Linked DNA regions of Astyanax mexicanus. The protein of the gene in region 2 purifies or fractionates together with the protein of the main gene of each other region. This does not show direct contact. Links are inferred from orthologs where the notes say so. Each region holds a gene or a part of one and is shown on either strand. Other genes may lie near its edges.

Evidence for each region.
Region 1: the proteins of casc3 (region 2) and upf2 fractionate together in Homo sapiens (co-fractionation; 3 studies listed by BioGRID and IntAct). This does not show direct contact. The link is inferred for Astyanax mexicanus from reciprocal best matches to the Homo sapiens genes CASC3 and UPF2.

Annotation. Positions count from the first base shown.
Region 1 is NC_064409.1:45,005,434-45,016,909, forward strand, and holds the start of upf2 (regulator of nonsense transcripts 2), read right to left. Parts: upstream 5,258-11,476; 5' UTR 5,099-5,257; intron 5,014-5,098; exon of another isoform or gene 4,403-5,013; intron 2,848-4,402; exon of another isoform or gene 2,845-2,847; 5' UTR 2,844-2,844; coding exon 2,470-2,843; intron 1,948-2,469; coding exon 1,168-1,947; intron 1,067-1,167; coding exon 906-1,066; intron 204-905; coding exon 12-203; intron 1-11. Other genes in the region: protein FAM180A, read right to left, coding at 6,583-6,912, 10,143-10,240. UniProt on the Homo sapiens protein: Involved in nonsense-mediated decay (NMD) of mRNAs containing premature stop codons by associating with the nuclear exon junction complex (EJC).
Region 2 is NC_064426.1:33,094,817-33,106,243, reverse strand, and holds the start of casc3 (protein CASC3), read left to right. Parts: upstream 1-6,489; 5' UTR 6,490-6,511; coding exon 6,512-6,697; intron 6,698-9,454; coding exon 9,455-9,482; intron 9,483-9,606; coding exon 9,607-9,662; intron 9,663-11,072; coding exon 11,073-11,276; intron 11,277-11,427. Other genes in the region: msl1a (male-specific lethal 1-like 1), read left to right, coding at 739-1,392, 1,734-1,930, 2,059-2,318, 2,702-2,766, 2,919-2,986, 3,075-3,199, 3,282-3,354, 3,485-3,575. UniProt on the Homo sapiens protein: Required for pre-mRNA splicing as component of the spliceosome. Core component of the splicing-dependent multiprotein exon junction complex (EJC) deposited at splice junctions on mRNAs.

The DNA.
Region 1 (11,476 bases), on a different chromosome or scaffold from region 2:
CCATTTACTACCTTTGTTTTCTTCCCTATCTTTGCTCTGACAGGCCTTTTCATTGTCCTTGAACAGAATGGCAGGAACAAATGCCTTCAGGTCTACCAGGTTTTCATAAAAGTTTCGTGCATCCTCATCCTCCCAGATTCCTCCTTCAAGCTCATAGTCTCCTGGCTTCCCCGGGGTGAAGATGTCAATGCCTGGACCATGCTCTGCAACACAGACATCACACAAACACATTGTTCATACAACATAAATAGTAATTCACACACCTCTGTAGGGATCTATGTTACTAATTAACTCCTGACACTCATAAAACCACATTTAACCACTATTCTGGGTTTATAACCATTATAAAACTGAAAGTTATTACATAACAAACTTTTGCAAATTCTATTACATTAAATACTGTGTCACAAGGTGTTATTGCAATAAACAAAAACGCTTAATGTTTGTCTGAAAACAAAGGGCTGGTTTGCTGGTTCACTAAGTCTTGGACTATATCTTGGTGTAAACAACAAATTGAACTGAAACCACTGAAAATGTTTTGTTGTTTAAAACTTTAAACATTCATTTGAACAATATTGTGAGATTGAGGTAACATAACTAAAATGGAAGAAATGTAAAGCTAAAATATGGTCATTAGAAATGCTTTTTTTTAGGCTAGCTGTTAATTTACCAGTACTTATGAGGTGCACCTCATTAAATGCATTAGATGATAAGGACATTATTAGATAATATTTGTGAGTATTATTTATAAACATCAGACATTTCATTTGGTTCATACACTTGTTCAAATGAACTGGCAATTCGTGATTGAATATGCTTAACCTCCAGAGTATTTTGACTTTTTTGAAGGGTCTATATCAAAACCAATTTGTGTTGTAAAAACCCTGTTGTGCATGAGTTTGTACCTTCTTGGACAGTCTTATCCTGAGGCAGCTCAGGCATGTTCTCATCCAGCAAATCAGCCAGAGACTGGGTGTTGGCCAGCAGTTTCTGATAGCATGTGGCAAACTCCTCATACTGTTTATGCCTGTCCTCACTCAGCTCTCCTTTAGAGTGCAGAATACGCCTGAAAGATAAGGAAATAGAGCATAAGAGGTTTTTAGAAGAAGCTCCAGTACACCTACACTAAAGAGATACACTGGGCTGATGGTTATGACATTTGCTCACCTGTTTTGCCTTTCAGTGTTCTGAAGCTCTCTATGATCTTTCTTCAGGTGTTTGGTAAGAGAGGTAAAATACTCTCTCAGCAAATTCTGGAAGGGCTGCTGCTTCTCTATATTGATGATCTCACTCGGAGGGAATGTCAGGTTAAACTTCTCAGCTGCACTCTTCACCCGACGAGGCACCAGGCCAGCAATGTCATCTCCACAATGCTTGCAAAAGCTTATTACCACCGAAACGTGAGTGTGAGTCTCACGGTCAGCACTGATAATGTTCTTCAGTTGCTCATAGATGAGAGAGAGCCCTTCCTTATCAGTGAAGAGACCCACTATAGTCAGCTCAGCAATGAAGCGTAGGTCAGTGCGCAACTTGCTCACGTTTGGAGCCTTCTCCTCTTTGCGCGCCTCAAAGTGCCTCTTCCACGCAGCCAGAAGGAGAGGGGCAAATTCAGCGTAGCGCTGGTGGAACAGCGAACACAGGTGTACAGCACAACCCACATCAGAAATCTTAAGCTTGGCCTCCACCAGTGAGCTGACGGCTTCTCCAATGTATTTGCTGAGATTGAGCGAAGCGAAGTCGTGCGAGAGGGAATCACGCTGCTGTTCTGTGAGTGTGCGGAGCTTCTTGACAAACGCAGTGTTTTTCTTGAGACTGGAGTCCAGGCGACTGAAGAAGGCCTCCTCGGGACGGCTTTCCTGCACATGCTGGTTCTTACCTCGCAGCTCCTTCCTGGTTTGGTGTCTTTCCCATGCCTCCTGGTGCAGCTGCTGCGCTTCCTCTTTCTCCCTACAACACAAACACATTAGCTGAAAACTGCAGCAATAGAGCTACATTTACATGTACACCAACAGTTAGATAATAGTTAGTCCATTTTAAACTTCTGAGACTGATATAAATATAAAAATACCATAACAAAATAACATTTGTGCAGTAATTGTGATACAGTGCATGTGATAATAGCTTTCAAACATCAACTCATAACAGAGGATGAAAGGGTTCACATAAAATGCTTAACAATTTGTCAGAAATATTAAATACTCAAATATTTTAAAGGAAAAGGGGCAATAATGTTTATAAACAATGGGGAAAATGTTACATAGGAGGTATTTACCTTTATATAGTCAGTCTATGCTGCTGTAAATCTAATTGGAACTATAAACATACTATAGTTTCATAGATCTTTTTTAAACCTCTTCTAAAATTTTTGTCCAGTTTGTTAGATTACCTGTGAACATACTGGGCTGTACACTGGCACTATACAGAAATGCTAAAACTAGTCAAAGTCGAAACCTCTGTCAGAAATCTTACTTCAACTGAGCAGCCTCCTCCTCCTTCTGTCGTTTGGCCTCCTCCTCAAGCAGCTTCTTTTCCTGTTCCTCCTGTTGCCTCTTCTCTTCTTCCTCCTTCCTTTTCTGCTCTTCCTCAGCCCTTAGTTTTTCTTCTTCTTTCTTCTTACGCTCCTTCTCTTCTTTCTTCCTCTTCTCCTCCTCCACTCGACGCTTCTTGTCATCCGCAGACTTGTTGCCATCCTTCTTGCCACTCATTTTGCTCTCATCTTTGCCTTTGTCTCGGGAAGACGTGGGTCGCCTATCCCCATCTCTATCTCGCTCTTTCTCCTTGCTGGTGTAGGAGACTGTTTCCTTGTCATCCATGTTCACTGACTTTTTGCGTTCAGCAGGCATCCTGCTAAAACATCAGACATTTCTTTTTATTTTGGGATGTTCTATAAACACAGCATGAGCAAGCAAATAGAAACATCAACATTTTCTGTTATTGCCAAAGAGTGATTCTACAGGGTTTTCCTACTGTAATATAGCCATTTGTCTCAGCAAAGGCTCAACAGGTAATGAGTTAATTATGGATCACCTGTGTTGGAATTAGAGGAATCTCTACCAGGGCAATGGTAGCTAATAAAGGACCAGAGCTGGGTCTCATTCTTAAGTTTGTATGTAAAGTCTCTACTAAGTCCATAACACTACTTAGCTTTAAACTATCCTTTCACTAAATGTGGTTACACCACAAGTCTATATGTTGTGTCTTAACTAGTAACAACCAACTGATGTGCAGTAACCACTTTTACATTAAGAAATTAAATGTATGACATGGCAATCAACAGGTTGCCATGGAAACTTGGCATATAATGGTTTTCATTGGTTTAGTTACAACTTTCCTCTCAGTGTCTGTGAGGGGTCACAATATTTATAGAGGCCAAGTACTATTTCAACAGTCACACCCTGTTCAAACACTTAAATATAGAAGTATTTTTATACAAAAATATTAAATCTGCAATCAAATGTTTAAGATTCAAAACAGAAAATAATTTACTTGATTGATTATGGGGATATCATCAGTGCCTAAAGAACATTAACCCAACTGTACATTTAATTACAGAGAGTGTAATTAATCATGTTAAACTGGATGATGTGCAGCAAAATCACTGTACTATACATAAAACAGTATTTTAAACAGCAGATTAGCATATCTGCCACATGATAAATACTATCATGAAAACATCTATTAGTGTGTGATCACAAACTTTGCAGTTATGTGGAAATTATTTTAGTTTTTCTTTTATTTTTGTGTTTCTGTGGAGTTTGCTGTTGAAATCTCTCATTTGTTTGTGCTTCATTATTTGTGTTTCTATATAAATATAATCTGTAATTAATTTTTTAATAAGATTTTATATTTTTGTGTAAAACTTTTGGCAGAAAATCAACCTCATAAAAATATCCTTACCAATTTTACATTTATTTTTAACTGTACATGGACAAAATACTGTCAAACACAAACAGCATGTGAGAAAATCCAGCAACCTAGTTTGTGTGGAGCAACCTGTTTTGATTCAGTAATGCGGAAATCTGAATGTAGTAAACACTTAACCTGGTTTGTTACGTTAAAAGTCACAGCATAAAAAAATAACATTTTACACACACAATAACCTGAAATCTAAAGCGAACTAAATAAAGGCGTTTATGTTGCTATATTTAGCAGAACGACTGTGTGACAGGTGTACTATTTAACGCGTAAATCTAACAACTTTTAAAAAGTTAGTTTAGTTAGCCAGCGTTCGTTAGACAAGAGAAAGCCAGCTAGCTAACAAGCTACATTATTTAGCTAGCGTTAACTTCAGCTAGCCACTGTAGTTAGTAATACAAACGTAGGTAATAGTTTAGTTCATACCTTTTATAAATAAGTTAACACATTAGAACAACATTAGTTTATGTTGAAGAAGCAAACACACCATAGTGCACACCAGGAGAATGTAACGTGAGTGAGCTGCAGTTGTAGCAGTGACAGCTGTTCTGTTCAAAACATGAACCGAAGTTATGATTAACTATAAAATTAGCCAACCTGGCTAGCTAGCTAGCTATACTGTCTACGTTTACCGCGTTCGTTCTTTATTTCCGCCCGAATACTAGCTAGTTAACTAGCTAATTCCCACATACCCAACTGAATTATGGCCTAAATAAACTTACAAGTTATTGTAAAATTGCGTATAATAGAAGTATCTTACGGCATTTGCCCGTTAGCAAGTGAGCTAACTCCGTTTGCCATAGAAATCTAAACAGCTAACGATAATAGCGAGTTAGCTAGCTAGCTGTTAGCTGTCGAGAGTTGTTAGCTAACGCTAGCTAACTAGCTTCACACTTTACGCGCCCCTCACTCCGCACATTAACCCCCGCTATATATCGCTAACAATCCAACAGCGCGGAATAAACGCAGAGCTCCTGCTGTCTATCTGAAGCTGTCTTTAGATAGCTGTCTGTCCGCCTCTCGGTGAATCAGTAAGTGGTTAGCAGAGTGTCAGTAATAACAGTGTTAGCTCAGCTCAGCTCGACTGAATTTCAGGCCGCTCTGTAAACATTACCGAGCTGCTCGATACCCCGCACTACCCACACAAACCCTCCCCAAACCGCCACCAGCCCCGTTATCTTACCTTCAAAACAACATAAACAACATAGGGCAGTTTTAGCTGGGTGGGCTACTTTTTCCTCTGCCTGCTTTGGTAGGAAGGACCCCAAATCTAGCTCTGTATTTCGTGCGCCTGAACAAAATAAGCAGCGCTGCAGTCTGGTCCAGAGGAAGAGCAGAACATGTCGATCATGGCGCGTTAGAGAGGTTAGCTATCATAACAGCTCATAAACTGATGTGGGTGTAGACCTAGCTGGTGCACGAATTAACTCTAGTGAACCTTTCCCATTTTCCTCCTGAAATTACACACTATTGGGGTTTTCTACTCCTGCATTAAAGCTACATAAGGTAGATGCAGTTTCATAAACTGCCGCGTTTCCAAATTTAATTATCACAAACTGAGGATTTCATGCCCTCCCACGCTTTCATTTTGTTCAGTTCAGCGCATTGTGACTGTGGGTCTATAAATATACTTTCACAATTCAGCATCTCTAGCTAACTAGGTTAGTTGTTTTCCCCAACTTAATCCTACTGCAGAACAAAGTATATGTACACCTCTGAAAGTGTGAAAGTAATTTAAGCCAGAATCGCTTAATCAAAAACTCTGATCATTCAAGTCGTATTGTCATGAGCACACTGGACAGTTTTTTTTTTTATCTCACTCACATGATATCACCTTTCTATTTGTACAGGTGTGGGTGTTTTTCAAGCTGTTTCCTAAGTACAGCTCTGAAAATTATGAGTTTTCCTTTTATTTTACTAAATTAAAATTAATCTGAATCACAGCCATCAAACCAAGCTGAACTAAATCCACCATATATTGATTTCTGATCTCCTAAAACGTTATAAATATGAACTTGTTTTCTTTGCATTATTTGAGGTCTGAAAGATTTCCGTCTCTTTTGTTATTTCAGCCATTTCTCATTTTCTTCAAATAAATGCTCAATATTTTAATTTGGAATTTTGGGGGAAGTTACTGCAGATAACTATTATTTATTTTAACAAATCCATATGGCAGTCAGACATTATATGTTGGCAACTCAAATAAGCCACAATTCCAGTCTTAAATCATATGCAGCTGCCTTTTATTGATTTTTAAGGCTCAGAAAATAGGTTCCCATGTAGCATTTGTCTATGTTAATGAGATAAAAATGATCACTGAAACTTGCGGATAGCTCAATTATGTTTCTAAAAGTTTACATGAAAAAAAGGAACAAATACAGTAGGTTAGTCAGATATTATACAGACAAATCCGACATACAAAATCTGACTTGAGTACATCCCAAATTTGAACAGGGGTGTCCAAGACTAAGCATACACATATACATATATCATATGTACAAGTCAAATATAATGTTTCATTTATCATATACACGTCTAATAAGTTTGTATAACAGTTCTTTAACAAACCAAACAAAAATAAAAATACAGGCCTCTATCACCACTCCTATCACCACTCCTTTCATTAAAAGTTTATTGAAAAGTTCATTTAATAAAGAAAGTTATCTGTCACTCTGCTCTTAGATCTCCTTTAATGGCTTTATAAAGCTGAAGAAAGGTGTCTGCCCACAGCTCCCTCTGGTGGCCTGCAGTTGCCTGTGTGAGTCTCTGAGCTGTGTACACCATGGTGAGCACAGTTCGCTCAAAGTCCTCCTTGTGTAGGTGACCCCGATGCTGTTCCAGCTGGTGGCAGAGGCGGCGGATGTCTGACAGTGTTCTGGGAAGGACGTCCTCGCAGACCACCTCCAGAGATTGCAGCCGCCTCAGAGAAGCTAACTCCTCATCAGCCATGCGTAGCACACCTTCCCTGGCATCCACATACAGCCCTGACCACAGGGCCTGAGCCACAAACAGACAGACAATCATACAGACAGACATTATTAAAAGAGATACATTTAGAGCAAAGACTCCTTGGACTGTTTCAGTTACATTTGGTATAAAATCCTACAAATAGTATCCTACAAATAAATCTAAATTTACTTACTGATAATAATACTGAATATTGAACAATGTATTGATAAAGACCTGAACATTAGTAAAATATTTTATATATATATATTTATGACTGTAATGCCACAGTTCATTTTGACTGTGCAGTGTGACCAGTCCCCTGACAGGATATCTGTCAGTTTTTCTTATTTGTCAGTGACCTTCAGTCAGAACACCAACCCTATTATTTCCATTTGGTAGCTGAAGTCCCGTGATATTAGCTGACAGATTGTATTTTATGTTTTGATACAATAGATGGCGTATAGCAGCACCAGTAGTCAAATTAGAGATTAAATTCCAAAATTCCAGTCTCAATCCAAAATCTATACATAAGCTTAACCTCAGTCCAAAACCTAACCATAACCTTAACCTCAGCCCTAAACATAACCCCTAACCTTACCACAAATCAATACTGTTACCTTAACCTCAGTCCAAAACCTAACCATAACCTTAACCTCAGTCTAAAACCTAACCCTAATCTTACAACAAATCAATACTGTAACCTTAACCTCAGTCCAAAACCTAACCTTAAACTTAGTCCAGAACCTAACCATAAACTTAACCTCAGTCCAAAACCTAACCATAAACTTAACCTCAGTCCAAAACCTAACCCTAATCTTAACCTCAATCCAAAACATAACCCTAACCTTAACCTCAATCCATATGATAACCCTAACTTTAAAACAAATCAATACCCTCACCTTAACCTCAGTCCAAAGCCTAAGCCTAACCCTAACCTTAACCTCAGTCCAAAACCTAACCCTAAATTTAACCTCAGTCCAAAACCTGACCCTAACCTTAACCTCAATCCAAAACATAACCCTAACCTTACAGCAAATCAATACTGTAACCGTAACCTCAGTCCAAATTCTAACCCTAACCCTAAATTTAGACCAAAACCTAACTTCACCATAACCTCAGTCCAAAACCTAACCCTAACCTTAACCTCAGTCCAAAACCTAAAGCCATACCTCAGTCCAAATCCTAACCCTAAACTTAGACCAAAACCTAACCATAACCTTGAACTCAGTCCAAAACCTAACCATAACCTTAAACTCAGTCCAAAACCTAACCCTAACCTTAACCTCAATCCATATGATAACCCTAACTTTAAAACAAATCAATACCCTCACCTTAACCTCAGTCCAAAGCCTAACCCTAGTTTAACCTCAGTCCAAAACCTGACCCTAACCTTAACCTCAATCCATATGATAACCCTAACCTTAAAACAAATCAATACCCTAACCTCAACCTCCGTCCAAAACCTAATCTTAATTTTAACCTCAGTCCAAAAACCTACCCCTTACCTTAACCTCAGTCCAAATCATTACCCGAACTTTAGAAAACCTAAATCTAACTCTGGCCATAATCCAAATCCTGACCTCAAAACAAGGCCTAATCCTAACCATTATCCTGACACTAGTCCTAAACTTAACCTCAGTCCATGAAAGTGAAAAACAACTGAATTCAGGAGACATCTTCTGTAAAAGTCTGTTGATGATCTACTGAATGTTCAGATGCTGCTACATTACTGATATGTTTTTGATAAGATACCTAATAATTAACTGCTATTTTTCTTGCAACTCTTCAGTCTCCTAATAAATTCCATTAGGAACAGGGGTTTATATTGTATATTACATTGTACTGGAGCACATTCTATCCAGAGAGCAGTGTTCCTGCAGCTTACATTTTCTATTAAAGCCCATTGCCCAGGTTGAACAGGGCCTGAAGAAACACGTTATCGAAGTTTGTCAGATTCTCTCTACCATCACACTTTCTCTCACTCTTGTTTTATTAACTTCCATTCTACTTTCATGAAAAAGTCAGAGATTGTGTTGTGATGGAATTTCATTTTTCTCCTGGTACTTCTGAAGGTAAAAACTCTGTTTCTGAAAGAGACAGACAGAAACACTCGAACTCTTCTACAGTGTGTTCGGGAGCAGCCTAATTTGTTTCAAAGCAGTGTAGAGACGGAGCTCAGGGCTTCTGTAGGAGAAACAGGATGAGTCTGTATGTGCAGGTTTGTTGACTGCCTGGTGGTGTTTGTGCTAGTAGCATCATTGCTTGCCTTGTTTACCTCAGTGAAGAGAAGTTGATGGATACAAAAGTATTGGAAAAAAGTAGAAGCTCCATTGGGCTAAAGAAAAAAAAATGCTGTGAGGATCTCGGAGTCAGACAGAAAAACTGATGTAAGAAAGTCTGTGTTTATCTTGTGTTTGTCTACATGAATTTAAGGTCTAAATTGTTTAGGTTTGGTCATGTTGTAAGTGTCATTTCAATTTCTACTTTAATGCTGATTGACAGGTACTGGTCAAAAACATTGTTGCCTTTACCCACATGCAATAAGTCAACCAAGACACGTTATAAAATAAAGTTAAATATAAAGATAGTGAGAAATACTTTACACAATACATGTTTTACTTTAAACACTACATACAGTACATTTGGCTTTGTATGTTGCAATTGCAATGTTAAAGAGAATAAATCCACATGGTTCGAGGCAGATGTGTGATGTTCTATACCTGCAGTGTGCATTATACACTATATAACAGGTGGGGTACAAGCTTCCCACATAGCTCCAGACAGTGCACACCACCTACCAGACATCAAATACCCTGTATTTATTGACACACCTATATTTAATAATATGGTACAGTGTGACTGTCAGTCCTGTAGCTGTCAGTCTGCCAGCTCTGGACTCTGAACTACACAACAAAGACTCCAATTCCCAGCATGCACTTACAACAGACTTCCTTGACTTTGCTGATCACGTGAAGCTTTGACATTCCCACTCTCCCAGTTACTGATTGTTTGCACCTGGCCTGTCTTGTATATATACCTCTCTGTTTTCTTTGTCCCTCACCGAGTATTGAATCTAGTTAGCTAGCTCTGCTACAATGCGTTTCCTTTGTTTATTGCTTGTGTAACCCTCATTTTTGTTTCTGACCATCGTCCTTTGCAGACCTTTTTTGTGTCTCTGTTTATCCCTTTGTCTTGCCAAAATTGTATTTCTTGATTAGGGATTTAGATTGTTGGTTCTCAAAACACAATACAAGGTAAAAACAGTGGAGGGAACATACCTCATAGACTAAGTTGGTGTCCTCCACAGTTTTCTGGATGGAGGGGTTAAGTAGAGTTGGTGTTCCTCTCTTTACTCTGAAGGCAGAGGGGTACAGTGCTGAAAAAAAGAGGGTTTAAGGTCAGTGAGTTCAAAGGGTGAAGGGGAGAAAGGTTTATCTTCACTTCATAACCGTGACAGACCTTAAACCAGAACACTTTAAACATCTGGTGGGAGAGGACTGATGGACTGTCTGGAAGTTATATACCCTTTGACTGGCAGGTTGAGGCTTTATCAGGGACACGCCTCATCTGCTTACAGGTCACAGCTTGTCTTTAAAGCTCTTCAGACAGCTCCACTGTGGGGATTTCAAAGCAAGCATCTGTGTGGCAGGCTTCTGCTGCCGTATCTGCCTCTCATCAAGTCTGCAGTCACACCAAACAGCGGCCAGCCTGATGCATGATAGTATAAGGTGACTATATAATATCTCTTCCCCCAGACATCAGAGATCTTACAAAGGTGTGTCTGGATTTTTAAATTCCAGAGCTTGCAGTGATCTCATGTCAGTGTGTGCATCTAAAGGTCAGCGCTCGTGCTGTTAAAGGATTTTTACAGCTTTAAATACATCTCTTTAAGTCCTGCATTTTCGGCCCCACTATTGGTCTATATGTACCTGCTGCATGTAATTACATGCAGCCACTGTTCCTCCCGCTTTGCAGAAAAAGACAGAAAAATAGAGAGATAGAGAGAAAGGGAAAGAAAACTAAAAAGAGAAAACAGAACACTGTATAACAAGAACAGAACAGCAGTCCTAAAAAAAAAATAAATAAACACAAAATCAGTAAAAGAAAAATATGTTATGATTGTCTCTTAGTGAAACCATGTGGACCAAATATTCTGAAAGATCCATAAAAGCTTGAATCTAACCAACTACACAAAATTGTAGTCCGTAAAATACATCATGTGCGCTAAAATATTCTAATCAAACTTTATTTTCATACAAAAAAAAAAAAATTAATGTAAAATATGGTAAAAGCAGTATTTTTGTTCACTTGAGTTGAAATAAAAGAAGATGATTTGGTCATAAAAAGTAAAGGTACATGCACACATTACATGTACATTAGCTTTATTACATCCGATTTTAAACATATATGCATTGATATGAATCATCTGCATTAATATGGAGTGTGGAACTTTACAGTTATTGAATCAGCAGAGCATTGGGGACTTTTCGGCACTCAAAGATCCCACTCTGTAACTTTACTGTAACTGTCAGACACATTGTAGCACTTAGTTGCTGTGGTTCCTCAAAGCTTTCATTTTAAAGACGATTATAATATCCCTTTTGTAATTCCA
Region 2 (11,427 bases):
CTCTAACACGTACAATTCTTAACTATAAGCTATAAACAGTGTTGAATAATGTAGATTTACTCTAAGGCTCTTCTTAGAGTGACTGACCCTGAATTAGCTTGGCTAATTAACTAGTTTACTGTTGCCTAAACTAAGAAGCCCAAATATCAGAGCACAGTTGTTGTTAGCTAGCATTGCTAGCAGTTAACTAGCTGAGTCCCAGTGTTTCTTTGGTAAGCTTAAGAGCTGGATATGCAATATTTTAGCTAGGTTAAGTCCCCCATTCCTGCACTGCTTTCTAGACACACACCCAAACAGAATTAGGTTCCAACTAGTGAGCTGTAGAGCGATGGACGTTAACATGTACATGTAGCTACGTTCTTAGAAGTGTGAAGTACTGAAGCACAACAATTAGCTAACCTGGGTAATTGGGAATGTAGCTACACATACAGCAAACATTTGCATTGTTTCGAAAATACATTTAGCTAGAGTTCTAATGTACACTAACTATAGTGGAATAATATAGAATTATAGGGTTATAAATATAGATTTATATATAATATAGGGGTACCTTTACTCAAGTAAAATGTAAAAGTACTGGTTTCAAAACTATTTAAAGTGTAACAAACCACATTCTGTTTTTCTTTTTCAGAGCTCAGAATGGATGTGGATGTGGTGCTTCAAGCACGCTGCTCTCCCTCGCTGAGCCACCCTTAACGACAGCAGTGGGTGTAGGTAGCTCAGCAACTGCTACTCGCCATGACTATGCGCTCCACCGTGTTTACAAGTGGACGAAACACGCTGGACACAGACTTGACTGACCAACGCAAAAAACAAGTGGCAGCCACTGAATCTCAGAGTCTTGTAAAGAAGCAAGGCTGTGAGCATCCTGTCAGAGTTCCTGCCGTCCTGAGCACCATCCACAACAGTAGTGAACAGCATCTCCACAGCAAAGTGAAGACCTTCACAAGCAGTCACAGCACAGCAGGCAGACCTGGCCAGTCTCTGGCAGTGAGGAAAGGGCAAGAGGAGAACTGGGTGAACCTGGAGGATTTGATAGTTCCTCTGGCCAAGCAGATGGGGGCCGAGGGTACCCCAGTAAAAAGCAAATCACTGTTTGGACAGGCCAGTCACAACCACTTGGGCAGGATGGATCCAGTGGCATCAAACGGCAGCAAGCAGCCACGAAAGGCAGGGCCAGTGGGGGGAGTTGCAATAGCAGGAGTCCCCTCACCTGAACATGGCCCTGATGCAAAAAGCAGAAATATGATGAAGGGCATCGGCCATGCTGCCACACAGACTAGCTGCTTTCGTCAGATTCTTCTGTTGCAGCTAGAGCTGATTGAACAGCAACAGCAGCAGCTGCAGAATAAAAACAAAGAGATAGATGACCTCAAAGCTGAAAAGGAAATGGTAAGCAGAGGTTATTTGTCTATTGTGTACTAAACAAATTGTCTTTAGTATATTGAGACAGACACTACGCCACCTTCCCAACTGTGATACATTAATACATACCTGCTTGATCTTTGTATTTGGAGTCTAGATTTTATACAGTTTTATTTTCCTTCACACTTTTATGAGATTAAGTAAGTGGCTTAGGGCTGATAACTTGATTAAACGCACACAAATTAAGAGGAAGCATTTCTTTAATCAATTGTCATGTTTTGTACTTAAAAAAACAAACAAACTATGGCAAAGGCATCCTTCCACTGCTCTGGGCTATGCACACTTATTTATTAATTTCATTAATATAGTTGACTGCTCGCATTGAGCGAATGGAGCGGCGGCTACAGATGGTGAAGAAAGAAGGATCTGAGAATCGGCCGTCTCAGACTCCACGTCGCAAGGAAGTTGTTGAGGCCATCTCACCAGAAAGCACAGGGCAACCTGAGGGGCAGAGCCTGACACCTAGACCTATGACTTTAGGAAGGGGTGGCAAGGGCCTGAAAAGGTATTCAACATTTTATACGTAAAGCTTTAAATGTTTTTGTTTAAAAACATACTGCTTACTTATTTGTTGATTTGGCATGCATGAAAAATCAAACACAAACATGACTAAACTTTCTTTTGCTTTTTTAGAAGATTCCTTTTTCAAGAATCCGGGATGGCCAGGTCCAGACGAGGTCAGCCCAAAATGCCTTCTCCAAAGGAAGGCCAAGCTTTGAAGGAGGAGGCTCAAGAAGAAGAAAGTCCCGAATTTAAGTCACATGGTTCCTCCATTGTCCAATCAGAAGAACTGCCTTACCTGGCTACGACAGAAATGTATCTGTGCTGTTGGCACCAGCCGCCACCCTCACCTTGGAGAGAGCCATCTCCTGTGCAGGACGACACAGTTGCTGGTAAGTTTTGTCAGTTGTGCAAGCACTTTCAGTACCAATAGCCCACACACTTTTAGCACCAATAGCTCAAACTCTCTAGCTCATACATGGCATTAGGAACAGGGTCAAAAGTTTTGTGTTTATCTGCTTCAGAGATTCCTATTCTATTGGCAGTATATCTGTGCATGGACTATTTGCACATGTCAACAATGGGTGAAATTTAAAATAGCTGAATGTATTAATTACAAGGGGTGTCCACAAATATTTGTATATGTAATGTTTGTAGCGCTAAAGTTCTTTCAAATGTCAACAATGGTAACTTGTATCTAGAGAACAACAAAACTTTTAAACTAAATGTTGGTGATCTGGATTATTGACACTTTATACCTTCCTTTCCATTTTAGTCCCGTCTTGGCGAGAGAGCATTTTGGAACCCATGGAGGAGAAAAAAGCAACAGATATCCCTGAGGTCAGTAACAATTCAAAGAAAAGAGATTGATATGTTACACCATCTCCTGAAATGTATTACAGTGGCCTTTATTAGGAAAAAATACAAATGTAGTTTATCTATGTATGAAATCTTAAATCTGCACCCTAGAGTGACTTTATTATTTTATTCAGAGTCTAGATGACGGTGTCTTTTTGAAGCGGCATTCAAAACTGGAGTTGGATGAAAAGAGAAGGAAAAGGTAGAACTGATTAATATCCCTGCGGTTTCTTTGAACGGACTGCTTCTCTGTTTCTTTTCACAAGTCCCTAATTTCCTGTCTGTCTCAGGTGGGATATTCAGCGTATTAGGGAGCAGAGGATGTTCCAGAGACTCCAGCAGAGGATGGATAAGCGAAAAGTGATTCAGGAAAGTGAGCCAGAGCTACTTTCCTTCTACCCTGAAGCAGAGGATGGTATGTCACTAAAGTTTCAACAGTTAAACATAGAAAATTGGTGCATTTTTACCAAAATGTTCTTTTTTTTTTTTTGTTTCAGTGGAATCAATAATGATTACACCATACCTGCCAGTGGTGGCATTTGGCAGACCCCTGCCTAATCTTCAACAGCAGTACGTTTACTCATATTTCACATTTGTAACACAAGATTTCTTTCTTTTTTTTCTTCAAAATTTGTCCTATGTATGGTCTGTTCTGGAATCCTCTGCTTAAAATCATTCTCTTCATTTTTTCTTTGTACAGGAGTTTTGACATACCATGGCTGGATGAGCGCAGTCGCTGCCGACAAGAACTGTCCAAAAAGAAGACGCCCCATCGGACCTGCCGCAAGTGAAGCAGTCCTACAGGCGAAAAAAGACAGCGGCGCAGCCCACATGTTCCTTCTAAAGGAAATGCTGCTTCAGCTCTACTGTTTCGTGGCATGTCCTGTGTGCTACAAGATCATATTGGCAATATGCACTCACCTGGCATACCTGACTGCCTTGATTGCACTTTTGATCTTTAAGCAGACCAAGTCCATTTTTCTCCTCTGTTAAGTCTTCATTTGGTGATGGAACCACTTAACAGTCTAACTCCACAGTGGCAGAAAACCAAGCTTTCAGAAGTTCATGCTCATGGTTGTTTTAATATTGCAAAGTATAATGCTTGTGCCCTGGTTGCTTTTGCATCATCTCATACAAGTTTGCTTTCAGATGTACAGTATGGACCAAAACTCCCATCATATTGAGCTGAGAACAGAGAATGTCAAGATTTGTTGTTTTTGGTTTGCATTTCTGTTCATTGTAAGTGGATGGTATGAATCTAAGAAAACATGGCCTATCTTGTAAAATAGTGTTGATTCAAAGTATAAGTGTAAGATACTCTAAATGCATCTAAAGAGAATATTTCAAATATTAAAGAAGTTCACAATTTATTTGTTACTGTGTTTTTTTTTTGTTTGTGTTATCCACTCTAGTTTACTGTTTGTGTTACATTAGGTTGGAAAATACTTATGTAGTTAATCTAATTTTTTTTTTTTTTGCACTTAACTCAGTCATTGCACGTCATAAACAACAGCAATGGTAAGACTGAAAATGAGAAATAGTGTAGTAATCCAAAACATCCATTCAGACTCTTGAAAAAATGATTTGGACTGTATGGGGGTAATTTCATGAAAATTGGACATGGCTGTTTGAATGTAATCTGACAGACCTGTTTAGTTGTGCTTCCTTAATTTGAAATATAGATTCCAGCCTAAAGACCAAGGAAGTGTTGCCAATCTTCAGAAATCTTTCATGTGTGTGGATGATCATTACCCTGCTGAAAAATGCAAATGCAAAGACAAATATACATTTTTTTGGCTCCATAATTTGGCCTAGGGTAGAGACGTGGCTCTATTAGCGAAATGTAATTTAAACCAAAAGCTTGTGGATACAGCAGTACTACCTAAATGTGTTAGAATTATGCCGTTTTGCCAAATATTTATGGATTTCAACAAAACCTTGCACCACCTCTACAACCAACTGATGCTCTCAGGATGTTCAGTATATTTCACTTGGAACTTTATGACTTAAAATAAAGGACAGAGTGCTGTAAGGAACTTTGCACATGTTTTAAAGGGTCTGTGACATACTTCACCATGGGCTTTTTTGGGTTAATTAATCTCCACATATTTGGTATTTTATACCACACGTTCATAATTTTTGTCGACATAATTTAGGTCTTTGGAACAATGGCAATATGACAGTAAAAAAATATATATGTTATTTCTGTGCCCTTAAAAAGATTGTGATATTTATTATGTTGCTTATCTGTTGGATGATTCTGGGCATTTACTTTCTTTCCTATGAACTTAGTTTACCTTCTTATGGAGATTTAATAAAAAAAAATGGTCTTTTCTTATAAAACATAAAGAGTATAATGTTGTAGCTAAAGCTATTACTAAATGTTTATTAATGATGATGGAATCTCATATGCAATTTTACACCGTCTCCAAGTTTAAACCATTTGCTTTATATTAATGTTCGAGACTTCAAAAGTGAAACACAGTATTAGGGAAGGATTCTACAACAAAAGAAAAATTAGGCCACAAGGGATATCATATTGGAACTCTCATTTTACAGAGATCTCTTGGGGGAAAGCTTCATCACTACTTTATAAGTTTTGTATTTATAATAAAATCAGAGAATCAAGTACATTTAGAATTCACGTACATCTACCTATGTAATTATAATATTGCTACATTTATCAAAACAGTTAATTTTGCTCCAAACATACAAAAAAACTAGAACATTTATTTTTTTAATGTTCTTATTCAAAATATTTTTAGAAAGCTCTAGCCTTTTTTTGATAAGCAAATTAGAGGGTAGATATAAAATGTGACTGCTATTTTTGGTTTTATCTGTAAGGTCTCTACTGTCAACTTAACTTTAAATCTGATGATCCTCTTTGGCAAACACTCTAATATTTGGTTGGACCACCTGCTTTTGCTGTGGCATTTTTTCTTTAAGCTTCTGCAATGTCACAAGATTTATTTCAATCCAGTGTTGCATTAATTTTTAATCAAGATCTTGCAGCACTGATGGTAGAGTCTGACCACTGCACAAAGCCTTCTCCATCCAGCACATCCCAAAGATGCTCAATGGAGTTAAGGTCTGGACTCTGTGGTGGCCAATCCATGTGTAAAAATGATGATCTCATGCTCCCTGAATCACTCTTTCACAATTCCAGCCTCATGAATCCAGCCATTCTCATCTTGGAATATGCTCGTGCCATCAGGTAAGAAAAAATCCAGTGATGGAATAAGGTAGTCAGCTGACCTCATTCTTTCAGCACATACTGTTGCTGAAACCTAGACCTGACCAACTGCAGCATCAACCCCACATCATTTCCTTAGTTAAATCCAGGTGAAGATTTTTTTTTGCCAGTTAGTGTATTTCTTGATGGATTTAACTTGTTTATTAGCAGCAATAAAGCTGTGTCCACTGTAAATTACACTAAAGAGTTTAATTTGCCGGTTTATGAATGAGATGTGTTGTCAGTATAAATGTTTTGTTTAGCTTGAAAAACCTTTTTGGTTGTATGTTTAAATTACCTTGGATGTCTTTGTTTGTATTATATTGCTTTTGGAATTTAATAAAAGTATTTAAGCTCTATTTAAATGACTATGTTTCATTTATGAAGTTTCCTCAGCCCTGTTGCTTGGTAATAATGGGTGTAGAGGAAGTGACGCACTTCTTAACTCCCACATTGCCTTGCGCCTTTCCGCTCTCCCCTTCCTTGTGAGTTAAGATGGCGGACCGGCGACGACGAAGGCGGCGCGCTTCTCAGGACAGCGAAGAGGAGGAGGAGGAGGCTTCGGGCTCAGACAGCACCGGCTCCGCCTCACAAGCGGCCAAGACCCGGCCGAGGGTCCCGGAGCCTGTCGAGGCCCCGGCGGTTCGCAGCGCCCCAAAAAGCGATGTCGAGTCGGAGTGTGTAAGTATTGGCCGTCCAGCGGGGCTTCAGCGGCGGGCCGAGGGTCCGGCAGGGACTCAGCTAGCGGTCCGGCGGGGGGAGGGAGATAGGGGTTAATAGGAGAGGAATCGCGGGTTTTTTTTGGGAGGGACGGGTAGAGTCTGTAGAGTGTAGCGTTAGTGTGTAGTCTCTTTTTTTGGCTCACTGTTTTATTAGTCAACTCTGGTCAGAGGGACAGAGCAGGGTAGCTACATAACCCGCCAACACCTCCGGGATGGTGATGGTGATAGTTCTAGTGATGGTAATGGTGATTGTAACGGGAATGCATACATACGTGCTGTCCGTTAACCCTCTACTTCAGTTGTTCTCAAACATTGGTAACTAACATGAAGCACACCAAGGTGGTACACCACCAAATAAAGGTTTTAATGAATCAAAAACAAAAGATTATACAGCAAAATGCATGTGGGTACCACGTGATGTCCAAATGTCTAGCTCTTAAGAATTTGCCTGGTTTCATTGGAGACAATGACATGTTGTCACTATCATCTCATAAAAACATCTCATAATTTTCATGAAGAGAAATGTGATGAAAGTAATTTTGAAGCGTTTCTTTTATAATTTGGAGTTTACCTTTTAATAGCATTAGTGTTTCATGTCAACATCGATATAACACATTGCGTTATTTGTGAACATCGTTTACATGCTTACGAAGTTTTAGGTGGTACTTTGGGTTTGGCTTTGGTGGTACATGATCTAAAATGTTTGAGAAGCACTGCTCTAGCAAAAAAAAGGAAAAAAACAACATAATTTTTGTTATTAGTAGATTTTGTTGTGACAATGCTTCTTGGCAAGCCTGTTCATTTCCCTTAAAATTGTCACATTTGTAAGGAACATGCATTTCCAGGATGAGCAGCAGAGCTCAGCAGAGTATGTGGGTTGCCTTCATGAAAATTTTGTCAAATCTCCATCATTGCCAAACAGCGTATTCTGCTGTTACTACTGTTTCCTGTTTTCAGCTTCTGGTTCCCCCAGGTGTTGCCTTGGCATGAGCATGGGCCCTGGTACAGTGGTCAGTATATGTGTGCCTCAAGATTTGACATTCCTCAATTGACTAATCTGGATAGAAGGCCGAGAGGTAGCTTCACTTCAAGCTGGTGTGCTGCAAAGCCAAGTTACGGCATTATTCTGAGTGAGCCCTAGTACTGATATCTCCAAATTAAAGGCCACATTCCATATAGCTGACACTAAGTGGGCATCACAAGATGATCACACAGAAAGAAGATAGTCAACACCAAACGAGTCAATGGCACAATAAGCTGTTTGGCATTGGCATTGAGCATTTAGCATTTTCGTGAACACAACACACATTCTCTGCTCTGCTGCTCATCACACTAATGCATGTTTCTTAAAAATGTGGCACCATTTTAAAAGAGAAATAACAGGCTTTCCAACAGTATGGGACTTATTGCCAAGTCAGCAAAGAAATCGTCTACCAAACATGTATTTCCTTATTTTTTGTGCTACTTTTATTTGGTACTTGCACAGTAAATTATCGTTTCAGAATTGTCATTGATATCTAAGCATGGGCAAAGATGCGTCACATTGTTGATAATGTTTTTACAGCTTACTGCATTCAGTGTATGGATTTTACAAGACATTTGAAAGTGTCCTGTGTTTGCGATTAGGCACCAAGAACAACTTTAGCAGTAGGTCCTTTAAATCTTGTAAGTTAGGTAAAGTAAAGGGTGAGTGAGGTGGTGCCTCCATGAGCATCACTGAGCCGTAGGAGTACCTGACCATGTTGCTGATTCATTGGTTGGCCTGTTTTGTACTACAAAAGACCCGCCTGATGTTGTGGAGATATTATGGGCTGTCGTTTATTAGGCAGCAAACATTGGATTATTGATGATTTACACTCAATTTATCTCCATTTATCTCCATCAGTATAAGTTATTTTGCTTCAGTCTTTAATACACACAGAAGGCATTAGTAATATTATGACATTGGACCACTTTTAATACTGCAGTATTAATTACAGAGCAAGAAAACATCACTGTCAGTTTTTCTTAATATTGCTTCTTGAGTCACAATGAGGAGGCATTGACACATTTTCTGATTAAAGTGTGTGTAAGAAATTGGTGTGCTTTCTGCTTACAAGGAAAGTTACACAAAGTTATGTGTAGATGATCAAGTCTGGTTGGTAAGGCTTTGATATCTCTAGACATGGGATTTTTAGTTTTTTTTTGTGTCTTGGCTACACACAAAGCCCCCAGACAACATGCTTTTGTTGTCTGAGGTAACCGAACTGGGAACCAGCAAGTTTTTGTATATAGGTTTCATGGTGGGGCCTCACATATGGATGCCCAGTATGGTTTAGTATAGGATCAGGGGGAGTTAACCATCAATTTATTCTGAGTTGTACACTCACATGGGGCCTGGGCACATAAAGGAAGCCCAATGCATGGACAAACAAATTTTGTCCACCTGGAAGCCACCTAGCATATGACCTACGCATGTTAGCCCAGTATCAACATGTTGCCAGGTTTAAAAGCCATATTTTTTTTCACTTTCTGTTTGGGTGGATTACTAAATGGATGTGTGTTTCCTTTGTGAACCTTATCAGGTGACAGAGGTTTGGCTTATAGAATAAGGAACTTGATGTTTTTGTTTATACAGTTTTAAAGAGAAAGGAATTAAGTGGTTTCACAAACACTGTACAGCTCTGACCACCAACCACAAGTCTGACTTTAACTATATTTTTTTGTTCCTTTGTAGGAAAGTGAAGATGGTGGTGTAGGTGAAGGTGAGTTTCTCTTTGTGCTTTTACTTAAAAGTACTGACACTAATGATGGGCTTTATCATACACGGTTCCTATGTGATTGATGTAGATCACTGATTCACCACTTTTTTCGTTTTTGTTCTTGCAGCTGTCCTTTCAGACTACGACAGTGCGGATCCTGAGGAGAATGGTTCTCACTCAGAGGTGAGTCACCATAGCAACACAGACTGGAGGACTGGTGAGAAAATCTGTCCCCAAACTGGCTCCAGTACATGATGGATGCTGTGCATTAAGTGTTCGTTGGTTGCGGCTTATTGGTGTACATTTGAGTAGCTTGTTTTGGTTATGTTGCCTTTTGTCCAATTGTGTTGTTTATGGCAAGAAGTTTTAAAGAAGTTATCTCTGTTCAGTATTTAGTAGGGTTGGAAGCTGAGCTGATGTTCACTTGCTGTTTATATTAGTAATGAGTTGGAGCCAATAGGAATGTCTGTATCAAAGGCTACGTTCACATTACACCTCTTGTTTAATCATTTTAGATTGTTTTTCTCAGTTAGTGTTCGGTTTATTTGATGATCTACATTTATAAGTAGTTTGTAAGTGTAAATGACCTAAAGTGAGCAAATCTGTGCCTGAAGTAGGATGTACACATAAAATTATAAAGCACTTTTACAACAGCTTTACAGAAATGTTAGCAGGACAGAGAATCAGTCAAAACATTTAACATACAACATAGAAAACTTTTACCTTGAGAAGGAAACTCACATTTACTTTTTTCTATCAAATGTATTAGAAAGGCTAATATATGAGGGGTATCCATCCTCCTCTGGTCAGACAGCTTATAAATTAATTTTTAAAAGGTAAAAAAATGTTTGTGGACATGTTTTGTGAAAATCTTATTCAGACATGATTTGTCTACATGGCCCCTGGAAAAAATCACATCTATTATTCAGTTTAATTTTTGCAATGCCTTTATGTCTAGTCCAATACTCGAGTACAGTGTAGTGGTGCACTATTATGGTGACCCATTGGCTGTTGAGAATTAAATTACATATTGTTTTAATGCTGTTTTGCTAATTATTATTCATAGAAATGAATTCCTCTTGTTGAGCATAGACAAAATGTTGGTTGTTGGGTGCGTGGAGTTTGTGTGCTGCATTTGTTTGAACATGCTGTACATCTCCCTGTGCTGAGTTAAATCTGAACAACCTTTTTTTGCCGAAGTGGTCGTTTTGCTCGGTGTCCTAGCAACCCTCGTTCCTCAATCTTCTCGGCTGTCTAGCAGAATGAACCCCAGGCCTGCATTTGCAGTATTTCCTCTCCCTGCATATGAAGAGCTGTTTGCTGGGTTGCTTGCAGTTTATTTCATCACTGCTGCTTGCTATTGCACTTGTATTCAAAGGATAGAACGTGCTCTTACCACATGAGCAAATTTCTTCATTGACACCAACTAATTTAGTGTCCAATGACAACAATATTGCTTGATGTCTCACTTGAGTACAGTTAAGAATTTGTACTATGTGACCTTGGGACATAAATAAACTGTACAGTGTGTTTTGAGTATTGCCAAGGATGCCTTGTTTTGGGGTTCATCCATTTGACCTTGCTCCATCTCAGGGAGGAGAGGAAGAGGAGGAGGAGGAGGGAGAGCATTTTAGTGATGAAGAGGCTGCACGCCCTGCTGCAGAACAGAAAGCTGCAGTGGATACTCCTGCAGAGGAGTTGGGACCCGAACAAGAGGGGGAAGAGGAAAAGATGAAAGAAGTGAAGGTGGAAGAAAAGAGCAATCTGGCAGGAGAGAGACAGAGTGGGGATGGCCAGGTATGATATTAAAACTTTTTTCCCTTTCTACTTACTTTTTTTAAATGCATACATTTTGTATAAATATATAGTACCAGTAAAGATTTAAAAACTATAAAGGACCACATATGCAATTAGGCAGTAGACAGAAAAATGTCTTTGGCCTACACAA